Schizosaccharomyces pombe: one gene and its partners. Changing the gene in region 1 together with any one later gene gives a genetic interaction. Each region holds a gene or a part of one and is shown on either strand. Other genes may lie near its edges.

Region 1 (6,578 bases):
GGCAGTAAGCATACCCTTGCCCACGAACGAAGAATGAGTGGGTTCATGACCAGCACCACCGCCGGAAATGACACTGACATTCTTTTTGTTGTAGTCATGGAAATAGATGAATTTTCCCTCTTCATGAACAGTTAAAGTTTTGTTCATGTCGGCCAAGGATTTAAGGCCATCAAGGACGAGGACTTCAGGATCGTTGATAAAGTGCTTATCCATATTTTAGAATAATAAGAAAAAGGTAAAAAAAAGAGAATAAAGCCTTAAAATAAAATTAAATATAAGTTGGATAGTTAAATCAAATATTCCCGAAATTTATGATCTAAGAATATAAAATGACTTGTTTTAGGTGGTGGGGAAGTGCAAGTGTGAGTAAAGGATTAAAGAAATAAATCTATGTGTCTCTAAAATCTCAAAATATTAATATCAAAATTCCCTTCAATGCGAAAAAATTAACACTTTATACGCTACTATGCTTCAACTGGTTTAAATACAAAATAAATAAACCAAGAATATACTAGTAAACGTTTCGTTTCGTTACGTTATGTCTCGTTTTCGTTTCGCTATTTCGTAAAAGTTATGAGTGTAGCGGAAAAAGGGAGCTTGAAGACGATTTAATAATGCTGGCCTTGTCTCTCTATATATACTATATAACCACCAATTTGCATGACGAAGTGCCCCGCACGTAACGGAAGTGATATTATGCTGAAACAGTGAATAAACACATCTAGATAACCGTAGAACCGTTTTTCATACCCTTCAACTAATTACGAAATGTTGCCGATATGAACAATTAAATTAAATATCAGCTTGCCTTGCCGAAGATGACCTCAATCCATTTTCCTAGTCAAAGAAAAATTTCGCTGACCTTTTGTAGATCATATGCTAGAAAAGTAGTAAAATCGCAGCGTAAACTTGAGTCACCTTTATGTAGCAAAAGATTGCCTTAAAAGGGCAAACTCTACCAATGCCCAAAGAAGCAATGGGACAGGACGATGGCTATTTATTGAAATTGTTAAATCGTTACGAACTGCCATAAGAACCTTAATTAAAAGAAGGTTGTCGAAAAGTGCTCCGGTCTGCACATGTGGAACCAGTCATCTTAGTTAGTGCAGCCCCGGTATTCCACGGTGAAAAGCAAGTTTGCAGTGTAGAAGACAAATGGACCATTTGTTCATCAGTATATACAGTTAGTTAAAAGGATACGAAAGGCTGGATCATTTAGTGAACGAAGTCGCAAGTGAAATACTTGTTCATTATTATGTTCTGGTAAAAAAACCAACTTTTATTACTACAGCAGGAAAACAAACAAAAGTAACATATTGTTGGCAGAAAACACACAACCGAAAAAAACCTGTCTACTAGGAAATGGATCATTTTGATACTTCTGATCCGTTAGATACATTGCAGAACAAAAGATCGACCGAAAGGTTATCAATGACAAAATCTCTCTGGACCCTTTTGTTCTCATCTCTATTCTGTCCAAACCATCATCATCTAGTTCAATTCTTCTTGGACTCTGGTTTGGATGGAATAGTCAAACATTTAATGCCGTACTCTTCCGTAATCATGGCAATGACATGTGCAACAAAGTTGCCGTAAACACCAATGCAAATTCCAACGTAGCAAAAAAAGTATTCCGTCTGAACGTTTTTTAATACGCCAAAAGTATAGGCGTCCACGGCATCCACCAAGAATGGAAGAATAAGCACATTCCAGTATGGGAAGGGAGATTCGGTAATGTGAGAAACAATTACCACTCCAACCGAATAAGCAAAGATAAAAGCGTTCAAGCAAAAAATAGTGAGGAAATGATGTTCAAAGAAAGCAGGATACTTGGCATAGAGTGAAAAGACAGCCATCCATTGGAGGAAATAGGGAAGGATACCACTCAATGCTTTAATCACACTTCCGTTGTTCTTTTGGACGGCTTGAAGAGCATTTCGTAAACTTTGTAAGACATTCAATAGCAGGGCAAATGCCATAAAGTTGTACAAGCATGATCCATATGTGTAGTATGGCAGAAAGGAACGTACAAATCCCCATGACTCGGGAGTGGGATGTAGCTTGAGCCAGAAAGAATCACCCTTAATAGCTGTAAGGGCAAATAGTCCAATAACCATTACAATTCCTTCGACAGGACCCGAGAAGTATGAAAGGTACAAAGTACCCGTATGGTATTCTTCCCAAGTAGAGATGTAAAAGTATAATAAGCTGGCAAATTGAGTAAGGATTGAGCTAAACATATCTAGTTGCAGCAGTTCAATCGTCAGTAAAACTTCAAAGCTCGTATTGATGGCGTCTACTCCATGGTCAAATAATTGACCTAATGGAGATGATGTGCCAGTACGACGCGCTTGCGAGCCATCAATAGCGTCAAAACTTTGGTAAAGAAAAAGGCCAATCGCCCAAGAAGCATACACCCATGATGGGAAAGCATCCATCTCATAATGATACTTGTACACAAGCATAGTAAGGATATTGATAACAACGAATCCAAGCCCGATCAAAGTAATCAAATTAGGTCTAAGTAAAGAGTTAGTAAGAATAAGCAAGCAAACGGGTGTAGATCATACGCCATAGACATGGGAATCACCTTCAAAAGTTGATTCCACCAGTACGGCTTCAAAATATATTTTGAAAGAAGTGAGTTATCAATCGCACTATATTTATAGTTATGAAGATTCTTTAACTGCTTCCGGTTTAACTGCATCTTGAGAAACTACCTGGATATCCTTTCCTTATTCTCCGATAAAGTACTGGTAGAGGGTAAACATGTTACGCGTCTTAGTGTGTAGAAATAAAGGCAAAGCAACGAATGCAGATAAACCTTCTACCGATAAATAAATGTATAATGTAGCTTGCAAAAAAACTTGCACTATAACTATCTTTTAAATTCTAAATTGTAAGGATAATTGTTGCTATCAACCGTTTTGATGTTATTTGTCCATCCGCAGTGGATTACGGATGCCCTAGGCAACAACTGTTTAGAGCAGCAAGGTCGCCCTAAACTTTTATAAACTTCTATTGAATTTCAATAGTCCTTTCTTTTCGCTTGTCCATCGCTTCATCTGCCTTGTGCGACAAGTGTCCTTCCACCACTACCTTTTTCTGCATAAGTCTCACATATGAGTTCTTTAATGGAATTCCAAGACAGAAATACGACAAATAATGAAACAGAACACCAAAAAAGCATCACTGATCAAAGTTCATCGGTCCCTGCAGGGGTAATTTTACCTCCTCCAGCAATTCGAGGTGAGTCATAGTAATTAGTACAATAGACGCGCCTGCTAACGTAGCTTAGAAATAATTGATAAATCTGCTAGTTACGTTGCCAGAAATGGCCCAGCTTTTGAAGAAAAAATTCGCCAGAATGAACAGGCAAATACTAAGTTTGCTTTCTTGCATGCTAATGACCCCTACCACCCATATTATCAGCACAAATTAACTGAAGCGAGGGAGGGAAAATTGAAGAGTCATGCCACAGGCTTGTCAACCCAAAAAACATCCACTTTGGCTCGTCCCATTCAAAAACCTATAGAGGCAACTATTCCTGCTCCCTCACCGTACTTGTTTTCAGAACCACTTCCTTCTATTTCATCACTAGATTTGTAAGTATCATCTCAACTATTATTTCCTTCTTCTTTGAAGTTGCTAATTAACCGTGAATCTAGAGACGTGCTCCGTTTAACTGCGCGATATGCGGCAGTTCGTGGTTCTTCTTTCTTAGTGAGTCTTTCTCAAAAAGAGTGGAATAACACTCAATTTGATTTTTTAAAGCCAAATAATGCATTGTACCCTTACTTTATGCGTATAGTTCAACAATATACTTCTCTAATTAGAGAGCCCATTTCTTCGCCAGAACAGGAGCTTCGTGAAAATGTGAGAGACCCTTATAGCTTACTTTCTAAAATTCAGCCGCGTGTAAGGTGGCAATCGCATATGGAGAGCCAAAAGAAAAAACAAAAGGAAGAAGCCGAAAAAGAGAAGTGTAAGTGTATATTGAGATGCAAAAACTGGTTCAGGAAGTCCAATATTCTTCATTTACCATTTGAATTGGAACTAACTTGTCTTAGTGGAATATGCACAAATTGATTGGAACGATTTTGTCGTTGTTGAAGTGATTCAATTCACAAAGTCCGATGAACATGCAAAATTAGCTAAACCTACGAATTTAGCGGATTTACAAACTGCTACTTTAGAACAAAAGTCTGCCATGTTTACCATGCCTGACCAAAATTACACTATTGAGGAAGCTCCTCCTACAGCGGAGCCTTGGGAGCCCATAAGTGCGCCTAAAAAACAAGAATTTGGTGTTTCTCTTCCTCCATCACTTGCTTCTCCAGAAAAAGGAGGTATTTCTTCAACTACTTCAGTTTCTCCTGCCGCACAAGCTTCTCCCGTTTTGTCTACCACTACTCAGCCGAAGGTACAAAAGCCAGTACCAAAGGGTAAGTTTATATTCCTTATTGTAACTTTACTGACCCTGTTTAGCTTTCCAGCCCAAAGTTCCGATGGAGATATCGCCTTTCTCAGGTGAATTGGTTCCCGCTACAGAACTAGAAGAGCATATGCGTCTAAAATTACTTGACCCTCGCTGGCAGGAACAGCGCAAAGTTGAAGAATCTAGGAAATCAACTTTAAATTTAGAGAACGTGAACGTTGCTGCAAATATGAAAAGATTGGTTAGTCAACGGACTGATTTGTTTGACGTCCAAAACGGGGTAGAAATCTCTCAAGAGGAAATCGAACGAAGAAAACGTGCTGCTACTCAGAGCGCTTGGGGAGCAACTCCCACAAATAAACGCCGGTAGATTTCATAGAACTTTTTTTAATTTTGTTAATTTTTACTTTATTTTATTTAAGCTTCGTAGGACGCCGAAATCTATTAGTTAATTTGCTTCTACAACTCGTGAAATAAATAAGATGTAAATAAACCAGGTGTTGTAGACTTTCTCCAACTAATTGAGAATACAAATATTCTTTATTATAAAAAGTCCAATACACTAAACAAAGCTGGATTTTAACTTAGGAAATGCGGGTCTGGTTTTCATACCCGCCCACCGTCATCCTTAAGTTGTCATACCACGTAACCGCACAAACCTCTTAATTTTTTACTTCTTACATTGTTGATTCTTCATTTATCGGCTTTAATAAATGCTACATACTATCAATTATAGATCTTGGCATTTGGCTGCCAGGCAGTTAGGGCGTTCAACGTTTCGAAAGTTTACGACCGAATCGTCTACTAAAAGCCCTATTGCAGATGTTTGTTTCGCATTTGAGTAATACAGTAATTAATGATCGATTTTTGAAACTAACCAAAGCAGTATTGATGGAGTTTTAATTAGAGGAGGAAGAGGTTTGAAAGAAGGAACGAAGACGTAAGCTTAACTATGAACTACCATTTTCAAACTAACTTGTAAGTTTGAAATTTTTGCAAAAAAATAATATACCTTTTATTCTGTTAACGAATGGAGGTGGTATGCATGAGAGTGTTAGAGCTCAGCGTCTTTCCAAGACATTGAGCGTAAGTTTAACAGAGGATGATTTTTGTCAATCACATACCCCCTTTCGCGCTCTTGCGGATAAGTATAAGCACGTCTTGGTTCTTGGAGGAAAAGACAACAGCGTCCGTGAAACTGCTGAAAAGTATGGGTTTAAAAGTGTTATCAATGAACTCGATGTCATCGCAAAGTTAGGAACTCCATTTTGGCCTTTCACATCTTTTAACGAAGAAGATATTAAAGATGCAAAAGACTTTGACGTTACTAGACCCATTGAAGCAGTTTTCACTTATGTCGATCCTGTCCGACTTGGTTTGGATCTTCAATTGGTGATGGAATTGGGCCAGTCGAAGAATGGTGTTTTAGGAACAGTTTCGAAGACAGCAAATGAAGGTCCCGATATTTACTTTTCTAAGTAAGTTATTTCTTGGAAAGTATCTTTTGTGTAAAAATATTTTTGCAAGCTGTACTCGAATACTATGAGTGAATGCTAACAGCTTTTATAGTGCGGATTTAATTTGGCCTAATGAGTATCCTCTTCCCCGCTTAGGTCAAGGAGCTTTTGCAATTTGCTGTGAAAGTGTTTTTAAAGAACTTACTGGAAAGGACTTAAGAAATACGAAATATGGAAAACCTCATAAGCTGACTTATGATTATGCTAAAAACATTTTAATGAAGAAGCATAAAACTTTAGGAATCACCAATCCTCCCAAGGAAATTTTCATGGTTGGTGATAACCCCGAAAGTGATATTCGTGGTGCGAATAATTACGGTTGGACTAGTATTTTAGTACGTACTGGTATCTTCCAAGGAGACAATAGCCCTAAATATTCTGCGAAGCACGTTTCTGATAATGTATGGGAAGGTGTGCGCTGGGCTCTATCCAAACACGTTCCTGCTGCCAAATTGAACAAGTCAATGGGCGAGGTTCGTGGATTTCACACCTCTTCTCGTGTTTTAAACACTGTGACAAAAAGTAATAACAGTAAGCCTATTCAAAGGCCTTTGCGTGAGAATATTTTTACCTTGCCAAACTTGCTGACATTCTCAAGGCTCCTTTCAGCTCCATTAATTGCT
Region 2 (4,703 bases), 1.8 Mb from region 1:
AGCCAGACGCTTCGGTTGATAACACGGATATCGTTGTTTGGCACACTTTTGGAATTACTCACTTCCCTGCTCCTGAAGATTTCCCATTGATGCCTGCAGAACCCATTCGTCTTTTATTACGTCCTCGTAATTTCTTCCTTCGCAACCCAGCTCTTGACGTACCCCCTTCGAAGAATGTTACTACCTCTGAGGTGAAGCAGGCACACCATCATGGTAATTTACACATGATGGATATGATGAAGAGTCTAACAGATGCCACTTCTGAATTTGCATTTGGAGAGAAATTTTGCGAAAAACATAAAGGTGATCACTTCTTTTAGAGATTCAGATATTGATTGAATGACCCGAAACCATTTTGGAACGTAGATGTACATATAATGAGAAAGCCATGAATCAGCTTTTTATTGGAATAAGAAGTGATGTTTAGTTTTTGGTTAATCAGTGTATTAAATACTAGCTAACTGTCAAATCCAACAATACATATATCATTATTCCTTAAATTTTCTTCTTAGTATTTATTATTGACGAAGTATTGAATGTGCTTAATCTTTACGAAATTGATTATACTTAAAACGTTTTATTAATATCTTCTACTAAGGCAAGCATAATCTATCCGCATTGAACTTAGTCAAGGATAATGCCTTTCCCAACCGAATTTAAAAATCAATGAGAATAACAAATATTGAAATTTCAATTGATATTGACAATAGTAATTACAGTTGTCTTCTTTTTCTAATATCCATTTTCCTAAAGCCAAAAAAAAAATAAAATAAAATAAAGTTAATTTATTCATATCCATCAAACGCGAAACATAATACACATCGTAAAATTCAATAAAATAGCTCCAAACGATTGGTATGTTGAATCGTTTACAGTTATTCTATGGCTGTCAAATTAATAGCCGGTAACATTCCAGCCAGATGATGGCAAAGCAGAAGTTGTATTGGTACTAGATAGTACAGTGGAAAAACCGCTGCTAGAGAGACTAGTGAAACTGCTTGTCGACACACTGGAAGAAATAGTGCTAGAAATAGAAGGGATTGAGGTAGTGGAGGATACAGCGCTAGGGCTGGATGAAGTCAAAGTAGTAGACGACACAAGGCTGGAGCTGGATGTAGTCGATGTGGTGGAAGAAGCAGCACTAGAGCTAGATGAAGAAGGATCGATATCAACTGGAATACATTGAGAATAATATGGACCATTGTAAATACATTCGGATCCTGGCTCACAGCAAGTTGGGCCATTGTAATTGATGCCGCCGCACTGTTGATATAACTTTGCACAGGGTCCTGTATAATCAACTGGGATACATTGCGAATACCAGGGATTTGAATAGATACAAGAACTACCTACTACACAACACGTGGGGCCATCATAGTAAATACCTCCGCAAGTCCCATATCTGGGTGAACACTGGCTTGCGCTTGTTTTGGAGACCAGAGACAAAGCTAATGTCAATACTGTCAAAAACAAACTTTGAGTAAGCATTTTAAACGAGAAAAACACAATACTAATAGACTCGGAGAGAGTAAATTTCTAAGAAAAGAATAAGTTCAAGGGTTACTTTAAAGTTGCAGAGAGATATGTTTCTATTTCTGAATACCACGACAAAACAGACTTATAGCAACAGTCGATCCTGACAGAGTCGCCTTGCCCATGACTTTTTATACATCACAGAAGTAAGACTTTCACAAACGTAGCAATACTGCAAGGCAGAAATGTAGACGTGATCACATGGTGGGCCACCAGTGTGCGAATGAAAAGACACTAAAACCTTCTAACGTTCCCATAAAACGATCCAATATTCTTTCAAATAAGATCATATTAACCTGCTCTTGCATTTCTAGACCAGGGCTCTCATGTCTAACCGTCAGATCAGGTACCCCTAAGACCGTGACTATTTGATTTTTCGAATCATACAACCTGCCTATTTTATCTTATCAAAAATTATCATACGAAAAGTGACAAGATGGTTAGACATTTGACCATTACGACTAACATCCGAAATCCGCTACAAAATACTACCTGTAAAGGTGGTTGGGATATTCACATCATTCCTCTAAGTATATTGTCTAGGTACTTTCTCAGGGAAAATGGTACATATTTATTGTGTTTGCAAAGCATCATCAACTGACATATTTTGATTTGTGAAAACACAGGGAGTATGTTAGGGGCATGCGGCAATGATTCCTGCAATTGTTATGTTATAGAACTTTGTCAAAATTGTATGGCATAAAGTTCTTTTGAACGAATTAGAATATTTAGGTCATCATCAATGTCAAAACAGCTTTACATCGGCCTTAACCTTCATTTTGCCGCGGTTAAAGAAAGTGAAGAATTGGTATTTTCTTTTATTCTAATCTATTACATTTATCATATATCGTTGATCGAATTGTGCTTTAATATTTTTTTCTTATTTTTATTTATTTTTTCTTATATATATATATGAACATGTTATTTGGGTTTTCTGCCTTTTTTTTTATTTATTTTATTATTTTTTTCTTAGGTCTTTTCCAAGGATCGAAACTTCGGCAGAAGTAGCGCATCATACGGTACTAAAAGTGGGCTGGCACAATCGACATTTTTTCAAAAAATAGCTGCCGATGAACCAATTAACAATTTTTATAGTAAAAATTACAATGCAAGTAGTATATGAAAACCATTAACATTAAGTGAATATTGTAAATTATAAACACATTCAGAATTAGGCTATAAAAAAGTTATAGTGTTCACCAGAACATTACTTCGTTAATATTTATCAAGGGAAAGCACTCTATTATATGATAAATAGATTTCCAGTTATAAGCGATGCAATGCAGTAATTGGGTTTTCCGAGATGCTTTACGTTTCCTTTTAAGACAAATTGAATTCAACATAGGTAGATGCATTCATGTAGGAGTACAGCTAACTCTTGCATTGGTTTTTAAAAAGCATAAAAAAGAAAAAGAAAAAGATATTGCTAATTATTACAATCGCCAAATTCATATAAATGCAAAAAAATAGTGAGTGCGAAAGAAATTCACTAAATAGAAAAAAATATTTTTTTGAGCATAATAAATAAGAGATTGAAATACTTCACTGTGAGTAAATAAGTTCGCAATGTAAATTAGAATTGAAATTATATATCTAATCAAAGACGTTTCATATGGAAGAACAGTGTTGAAAAACACTCAACTTCTTTCTGCTTGTCTAATTTTTTGGTTACGAATTTATCAATTTATTTTTATTTTATTTTTTTAATTTTTAGTAATGATTTTTAAAAGGTGGAAACCCTTGTTTACATTTTAGGATGTGAAAACAATACATAACTTATACTAGCACATCAGAAATTTTGTATCGACCGAGGGTAAAATTTCCTTCTTCTTATTCATTACTCTACAAAGGATTCCTCACTTTCTCTTGAAAGCGATTCACTTTGGATTTTTATACAGCTAGAATAGTATTTCAATTCAACAGCATAATAGATTTTGCGCATCCGAAGGAGCTAGTTGGATTCCAATAACTACCAATTTACAAGAGTAGAAATAACCACATTGAATTTGAGAGAGGCAAACCTGCAATCTATTTGAAAGCACTCTTTGATTTTATCTCAAGTCGAATGTGAAGATTCAATACCCATTGAAAGTTGGCCGTGAAATTCGCTTAAAATTTTCATCGCAGAGAAGAAACAAGGATGATATTGCGATAATGCAAAAGCTAGAAATTTTAGCACATACTAAGAACTTAATTCTTTCTGGTTATTTTTAGATTTCTTTTTTGACTATATTGCGTCCTTAAAATTTTCTAAATCATCTAGATAAGGCGAAAATTAACAATGGTTGCTCATTTTTAGTTCATCGGATAACTAAGGATGCGCAGTTACTTCTAAGCATCAAAGTTTGGGACTTCAAACTGTGATTAAGTGCAGCTAATTGTTATTAGAACATCACAAAACGTTTATTGAAAAAACGTATAGCATAACCGAGAAACACCTGATATAGTCCTAAATTTTTACTTTACCAACATGTGATGAATTCTTTGATTCCGTTCAGCCCAGTTGAAATTTCATTATTCCGTTTAGCCTGTTCCCCGTGCAATGTAGACCTAGTCTACGCCGGTTAGCGTTCCGAATAGATGGGCAAAAAATTTGATACTTCACAAAACACCAATTCCGGATCGACGCTTTTTAAATTGGTGGTAAGGTATCAACTATGGGGAATCGCTTGAATATTGAAAGCACAAGATAAATCTTTGTTTTATTATCTGCCACAATGTTTTCAATTCAAAGCAATTTGATGAGACACTAAGTTTTGTATATACAATTTTAATGATCTTAACAAATTACAGGAAGCGTTTTTTAACTCTAAAATTATGAAACTGAGATGCTTAGTCAGTATAATAAATATGCATCTCCATCGGAGATGCAAGAACAATAATTTGCATATTTGCGCATCAAGCTCTAGATTAAAAAAAAAAAGGGTCAAGATGGAATTATTGGACATTAAGTGGTTTACTAGCTATAGCACAAAATTTGTATAAAATACGATAGCTGACATTTCTGATCTTTCATTGATTTGCGAATCAGTTTTCCAAATCAAAGGTTTCTCGTTTCTATCACAATTTCTTTCACTAAAAATAACAGTGGCTTCAAAAAGTTGACAATATCTCATAAAATGTTATTGAGACTATTCGGTTTATGGATGTATCTGCTTCCTCATTACCCA
Region 3 (5,320 bases), 2.1 Mb from region 1:
GAGCTAAGAACAAAGGCTTACTTTATTTATCAGTTTAACAGAAATTACAAGTAATTAAGTAGTAGCAGTTTTTAAAATGATATTTGTTACAACTTCATTGTATTCGAACATAATAGAAAGCATTTCCATAGTGATATACATTTAATGTAGTTGGGGTTTACGTCCATCAATTGTTTAGTTTATTAGCTCAGTTGTTGAATTTTAATATTAGACCTTTACCTAAATTGTTATGGCTCAATCAATTGCTAGATAAATATGTTTAAGTGGGTTTGAAGCAAAGCTTTAAAGAATCAAGATACATTTGTAGTCAATAAACGGCAAGAAATCCGAAAGATTTCAATGAATAAATGAATAATCATTCAGCTTTTTCCTTTACGTTTAAGGGGAAAAAATTGAAAAAAATTAGATAATAGTGTCATGGTCTGAATATGCATAAAAAATTTACAAAATTTCATGATTAATAGAAATGACTTCCTACACTCCACTGTTAATTGTAAAATAATATAAATGCACACACTTCAAAATAATTGTTTTAACAAAAAGTATCCTAGTAAAAACATGATTGAATAATCCAGAACTTAAACTTCAAAGACTCACTAATCAACAGGTCTAACACTAAAATTAGGCAATGTTGACCAATTCCGAATCGAGCTCGGACTTGACGGCATCCAAAAACTCGAATGTATCAACATAACCATTGGGAGACTTGCTGAGAAGGTAAAGATCCTTTGTCATAATACCCTTCTCAACGCATCGAACACAAGCATGCTCGAGGGCGTTGGCAAACTTAACTAAACGTTCGTTGCCATCTAAACGACCACGATGGGCAAGACCACGAGTCCAGGCAAAGATAGAGGCAATACTGTTGGTTGAAGTCTTCTTACCTTTCAAGTATTGCATGTAGTGACGCTGTACAGTACCATGAGCAGCCTCACTCTCAAAAGTGCGACCGTTGGGATGAATGAGGACAGAAGTCATTAGGCCTAAGGATCCATAAGCTTGGGCAACCACATCCGACATAACATCACCATCGTAATTTTTGCATGCCCAAACAAAACCACCATTGGACTTAATAGCTTGGGCTACCATGTCATCAATTAGACGATGTTGATACCATAAACCTAGTTCCTCAAACTTTTGCTTGTAATCAGATTCATATACTTCTTGGAATGTATCCTTAAATCTACCATCATATTTTTTCAAAATTGTATTCTTAGTGGAAAGATAAAGTGGCATTTTCTTTTGCAAAGCCATTTGGAAAGAACTGTGAGCAAATCCACGAATAGAGTCGTCAGTGTTGTACATAGACATAGCTACACCACTACCGTTGAACTCGTAAACATTGTATGTTTCTTTAGCAGAAGGATTACCTTTAGGGGTGAATGAAAGTTCCAACTTACCGGGGCCTGAAGCTACCAAGTCCGTTGACTTGTATTGATCTCCAAAGGCATGACGCCCGATACAAATAGGGTTCGTCCATCCAGGAATATACTTGGGAATGTTTTTGATTAAAATGGGCTCCCGAAATACTGTACCATTCAAAATGTTACGAATGGTACCATTGGGAGACTTCCACATCTTCTTGAGGTTATACTCTTTCACACGAGCCTCATCAGGAGTAATGGTGGCACATTTGATACCGACATCATTTTTGAGGATAGCTTTGGCTGCATCCACAGTAATTTGGTCGTTTGTCTTATCGCGAGCTTCGATTCCAAGGTCATAATAATCCAATTTAATGTCCATATATGGGAGAACCAACTTTTCACGAATGATCTTCCAAATCACTCTCGTCATCTCATCACCATCCATTTCAACGACTGGGTTTTTAACAGTGATCTTTTGAAAAGATTTGCTTGAAGCCATACGCATATTCATGAAACCACGGCCTGCGGCAGCCAACTTGAAAGGTGCCTTTACGGCAGCACGTACTTCCAACATATTGTGTCAGTTTTTTTATCCTTTAAAGTAAATGAAATATTCGACGAAGCTAAGTTGAGAAGGAGTAGCTGTGCAAATGTCCCTTAAATCCTAGTTCTATCCACCAAACTGCCTCTGTTCCTCACTACTTCTTACAATAGCACAAAGTGGTTGGTTAAGTGTAAGTTACTGATGGCAGTAGTGATTTTGTTACATTTTAGCAATCCTTTCGTTAAACTGAGAAAAGATTTAGTCACTTCTGATATCGGAGATGTGAGTGAACATTTCGCTTATCCATTCGCTCACATAGTATGACACTACGCAAAACTAGAACCGACAAGTCGATCGTAAAATATCTTATCTTTAGATATCCGTTACCTCTGATAGATCTGATAACCCTGTTACCTATAAAATTGAAATCTTCGTTTCTAGTAACTTAACTGTGAAGTGCAGCAGCGTCCTACAAGTGCTTATGAAAATGGGACGTTATAATTAAATATTTAATATAAGCTATATCCACGTTCAAACGTTGTAGCAGATTGACAACGTCGTGATTACCAGTCGAGTTCTTCAGTTTAATCTTTTTGATATCAAAACAACACTTTCTTCATTTTTGTTATAGACTACTTTCTTTATTTTTCCTCATTAGTTGCATCAGCTGCTGTTTGATTATTTTCTGATGGCTGCTCATCTACTGCGTCGACGGGTTGCATTTTTGTGTCTTCCTGTTCCTCACTGGTATTTTCTTGAACAGGCTCGTTTGCTTCTTCTATCGTGTCCTTTTTAACAGAGAGGAAATTTGATTCCACATATTTTAACATAAGGTTAAGCCAATGAGATACCCATATATTTTCAGCATTTTCGGAAATAAGGGCGCGCAAAGCTGACAATAGTAAATTCGTGACAATTTCCTTTTCCTCATTCGCTTCATTGATTAGCGAAGAGTCTTCTTTGTTAGAAACCGAACGCCGCAATCTAGCTGCTAATTTATTAAAAGTGGTGTTAACAAGTGACCACGTATAACTACGAGACCATATAGTCACGTCTTGCTTGATCAACCACTCAATAATAGAGGTAATACTAATTATAGAGTAGTTCAGCATTTTATCTAGCCACATAACTGCGTTGAACGGTTGTAATTTCCAAAATGAAAAAAGTTCATCAACAACCTCTATTTCGGAATCTAATGATTTTCGAGAAAAATGTTTCAATGTATTAAGATGTTTCTCGAACACGTTCAATGCGTGCGAAAACGATCTCGAACCCAAGCTATAAGCACAAGACATAACTAATCGGACAGCAGATGTCTCGGAGTTTTGAATCTCCTCGCTCTGCAAAATAATGTCAAGTTCTTCTAACGGTTTATGTAATCTCAATGCTTCGATAATTTGACTTGACTGTTGATATAGCGGATGAGTCTCATTTTCGTACACGAAATTGGGACCCGACGGTTGTTCGCCAAGCAAACAACGTAACTCTTCAGGGAGTGAGTCAGAAATTCTTGTGTAATAGCTTAAAATAAGTTCCCTAGTAATAGTTTCCCGCATAAAAACTTTTTTTGGATGAAGATCGTCCAGCTCAACGTCAGGAATCCACTCATTCCACTTCCAGTGAAAGTTGAAATTACTAAGGTGATGTGAAAACCAGTCAATAAATCGATCAAGTGTTTGTAAAGGTAAATCAGAAGACATGGTATACATTAGCCGAATGACCCTTCCAAAAGTTGGAGCCAAAATTTTAGGAGCGATACGGCAGCATTCAATCAAAAGCGAATGATAATAGACAGGTTTATACGTAGTATTCTGTGAACCAAGAAGCTCACCCAAAACAGCTTCAACTATGATATCTTCTGCTTTCCAACGTGATTCCGATGGATCTAAATTTGGTAATTCATTTACTGGAGTACCACGAAGAGCAAAAGTTTTGTAGGTAAAATAAACATCTAAATCTGTAAGAACTTGAGCAGCCTCAACTCGGTTAAATTCCAAATGGTTTATAACATCCACACTTATATCACGAAATATGCTGGCTGCAACGTCGGAAGCGTCAGGAGTCGTGCGAATTTCAAAGTTATTAAAAAGCTCAAAAAATCTCTTGAAGGAAGGTAGCTCATTTTGCTGAGGAGTGGGCTGAAACGTCCATTCAGGAATACTTGGGCTAACCGGAACAATATGAACGAAATCAGATTCAAAAAACTTCCAGGGTTGAGATATATAAGGAAAAGTAAAGTCGTTTTCCCGAGATAGAATTAGTTGTTTATAGAGTAAGTCCAATTCCTCCTCTGAAAGATTGTCATGTATTGAAAGGGGATTACTTAGAGTTATCGAAGATTTCCTATGACGAACGTAAATCTCACATTGATCCAGTATCTCATTAGCAAAATCCTTTTTACCGAGATCGTTGTTAGCTGCGATGAAATATGGAAGGTTTATCAAAATTATGCGCAGGAAATTATCTCCCCAGACACTGGGTTTGGTTTCTTTTGAGATAGCGTCAGCCAGTAATGAAAATAGTGGCTTAAGGGTACCTGGTTGAAGTGCAAATGACATGCAAATGAGCATTCGTAGATCGACTTTAGCCTCGTAATAAAGAAAGGAGTTTAAATTCGTAAAATACTGTAAACAAAAATACGCAGCTGCTTTTTCTAAGATTAAAGGAACCCTTAATGAGGCTCTTATAATTAATGTAGCCAAATGAGGTATTTTGACTGGAATGATAAATGCACTAAGGATTAAATTAGTTTTCTGAAGGGACAGTATAAATTATCACTTACGTTGTCTGAATGCAATCTAAGATAGTTGAAATGGTTTCAGGATCATTAGCTTCACGACTAAGAGACATAGCAACATAATTAATGTCATCAGCAGCTACTGAATTTCCTCGAGGATCCGCCAAAAAGGTAATATCCTTTTTTATACGCGCTGCAAGTAGCTCTTGAGAGTTTCCTCTATGGGGACGAAATCCATAATTCTCTCCCTCTCTCGTCCTCTTTCTGGGTCGAGTTGATCCCCGATAAGAAGACATTTTGTGAGGAATGTTAGTGTCTTACTGTTGTTGGCGTATAGCAGAATTGTAAAAACACGAGCAAGTGTTCTCAAGTAACAATCAACTTAGAGGTAACGAATGGTATACTAAGTCGAGATGGAAATTGTAAAACAAAAAAAAAGAAAATCGATTTTCCAATGCGATAAAAACGAAAACCTTAATAAATATGATTAGAAAATTTTACAACACTGTAATATTCTATTTCGGTAAAGGAATAAGCATCCATTCTGCTTCTATATTTTCACCTTTCAGTGAATGAGTCCTTCGTTTTTTTTGACAAACAATTAAAACAAAAATTAGAGGATATAATTTGAAATCCTCATTCACCGAGATTTAAGTGAAAAGGATCTGTGTT

What was found. A genetic interaction does not mean that the proteins touch.
Region 2: mutations in sap114 (region 1) and cbm1 together harm fitness more than expected from each alone (negative genetic interaction), as found in Schizosaccharomyces pombe (one large-scale study listed by BioGRID).
Region 3: mutations in sap114 (region 1) and idp1 together harm fitness more than expected from each alone (negative genetic interaction), as found in Schizosaccharomyces pombe (one large-scale study listed by BioGRID).

The regions. Positions count from the first base shown.
Region 1 is NC_003424.3:1,170,700-1,177,277, reverse strand, and holds sap114 (U2 snRNP-associated protein Sap114), read left to right. Parts: upstream 1-2,829; 5' UTR 2,830-3,122; coding exon 3,123-3,249; intron 3,250-3,298; coding exon 3,299-3,605; intron 3,606-3,668; coding exon 3,669-3,985; intron 3,986-4,070; coding exon 4,071-4,445; intron 4,446-4,488; coding exon 4,489-4,808; 3' UTR 4,809-4,927; downstream 4,928-6,578. Other genes in the region: dihydroxyacetone kinase Dak1, read right to left, coding at 1-213; ept1 (CDP-alcohol phosphatidyltransferase class-I family protein), read right to left, coding at 1,497-2,520, 2,571-2,707; cardiolipin synthase/ hydrolase fusion protein Crd1, read left to right, coding at 5,152-5,279, 5,322-5,378, 5,422-5,916, 6,008-6,578. UniProt on the Schizosaccharomyces pombe protein: Involved in pre-mRNA splicing. May be involved in endoplasmic reticulum-associated protein degradation (ERAD) and required for growth at low and high temperatures.
Region 2 is NC_003424.3:2,934,616-2,939,318, forward strand, and holds cbm1 (cellulose-binding domain-containing protein), read right to left. Parts: upstream 1,639-4,703; 5' UTR 1,489-1,638; coding exon 895-1,488; 3' UTR 501-894; downstream 1-500. Other genes in the region: Cu(2+) amine oxidase Cao1, read left to right, coding at 1-320.
Region 3 is NC_003424.3:3,228,157-3,233,476, reverse strand, and holds idp1 (isocitrate dehydrogenase Idp1), read right to left. Parts: upstream 2,098-5,320; 5' UTR 1,942-2,097; coding exon 622-1,941; 3' UTR 501-621; downstream 1-500. Other genes in the region: cbc1 (nuclear cap-binding complex large subunit), read right to left, coding at 2,553-4,644, 4,694-4,944; tda3 (FAD-dependent amino acid oxidase), read right to left, coding at 5,285-5,320.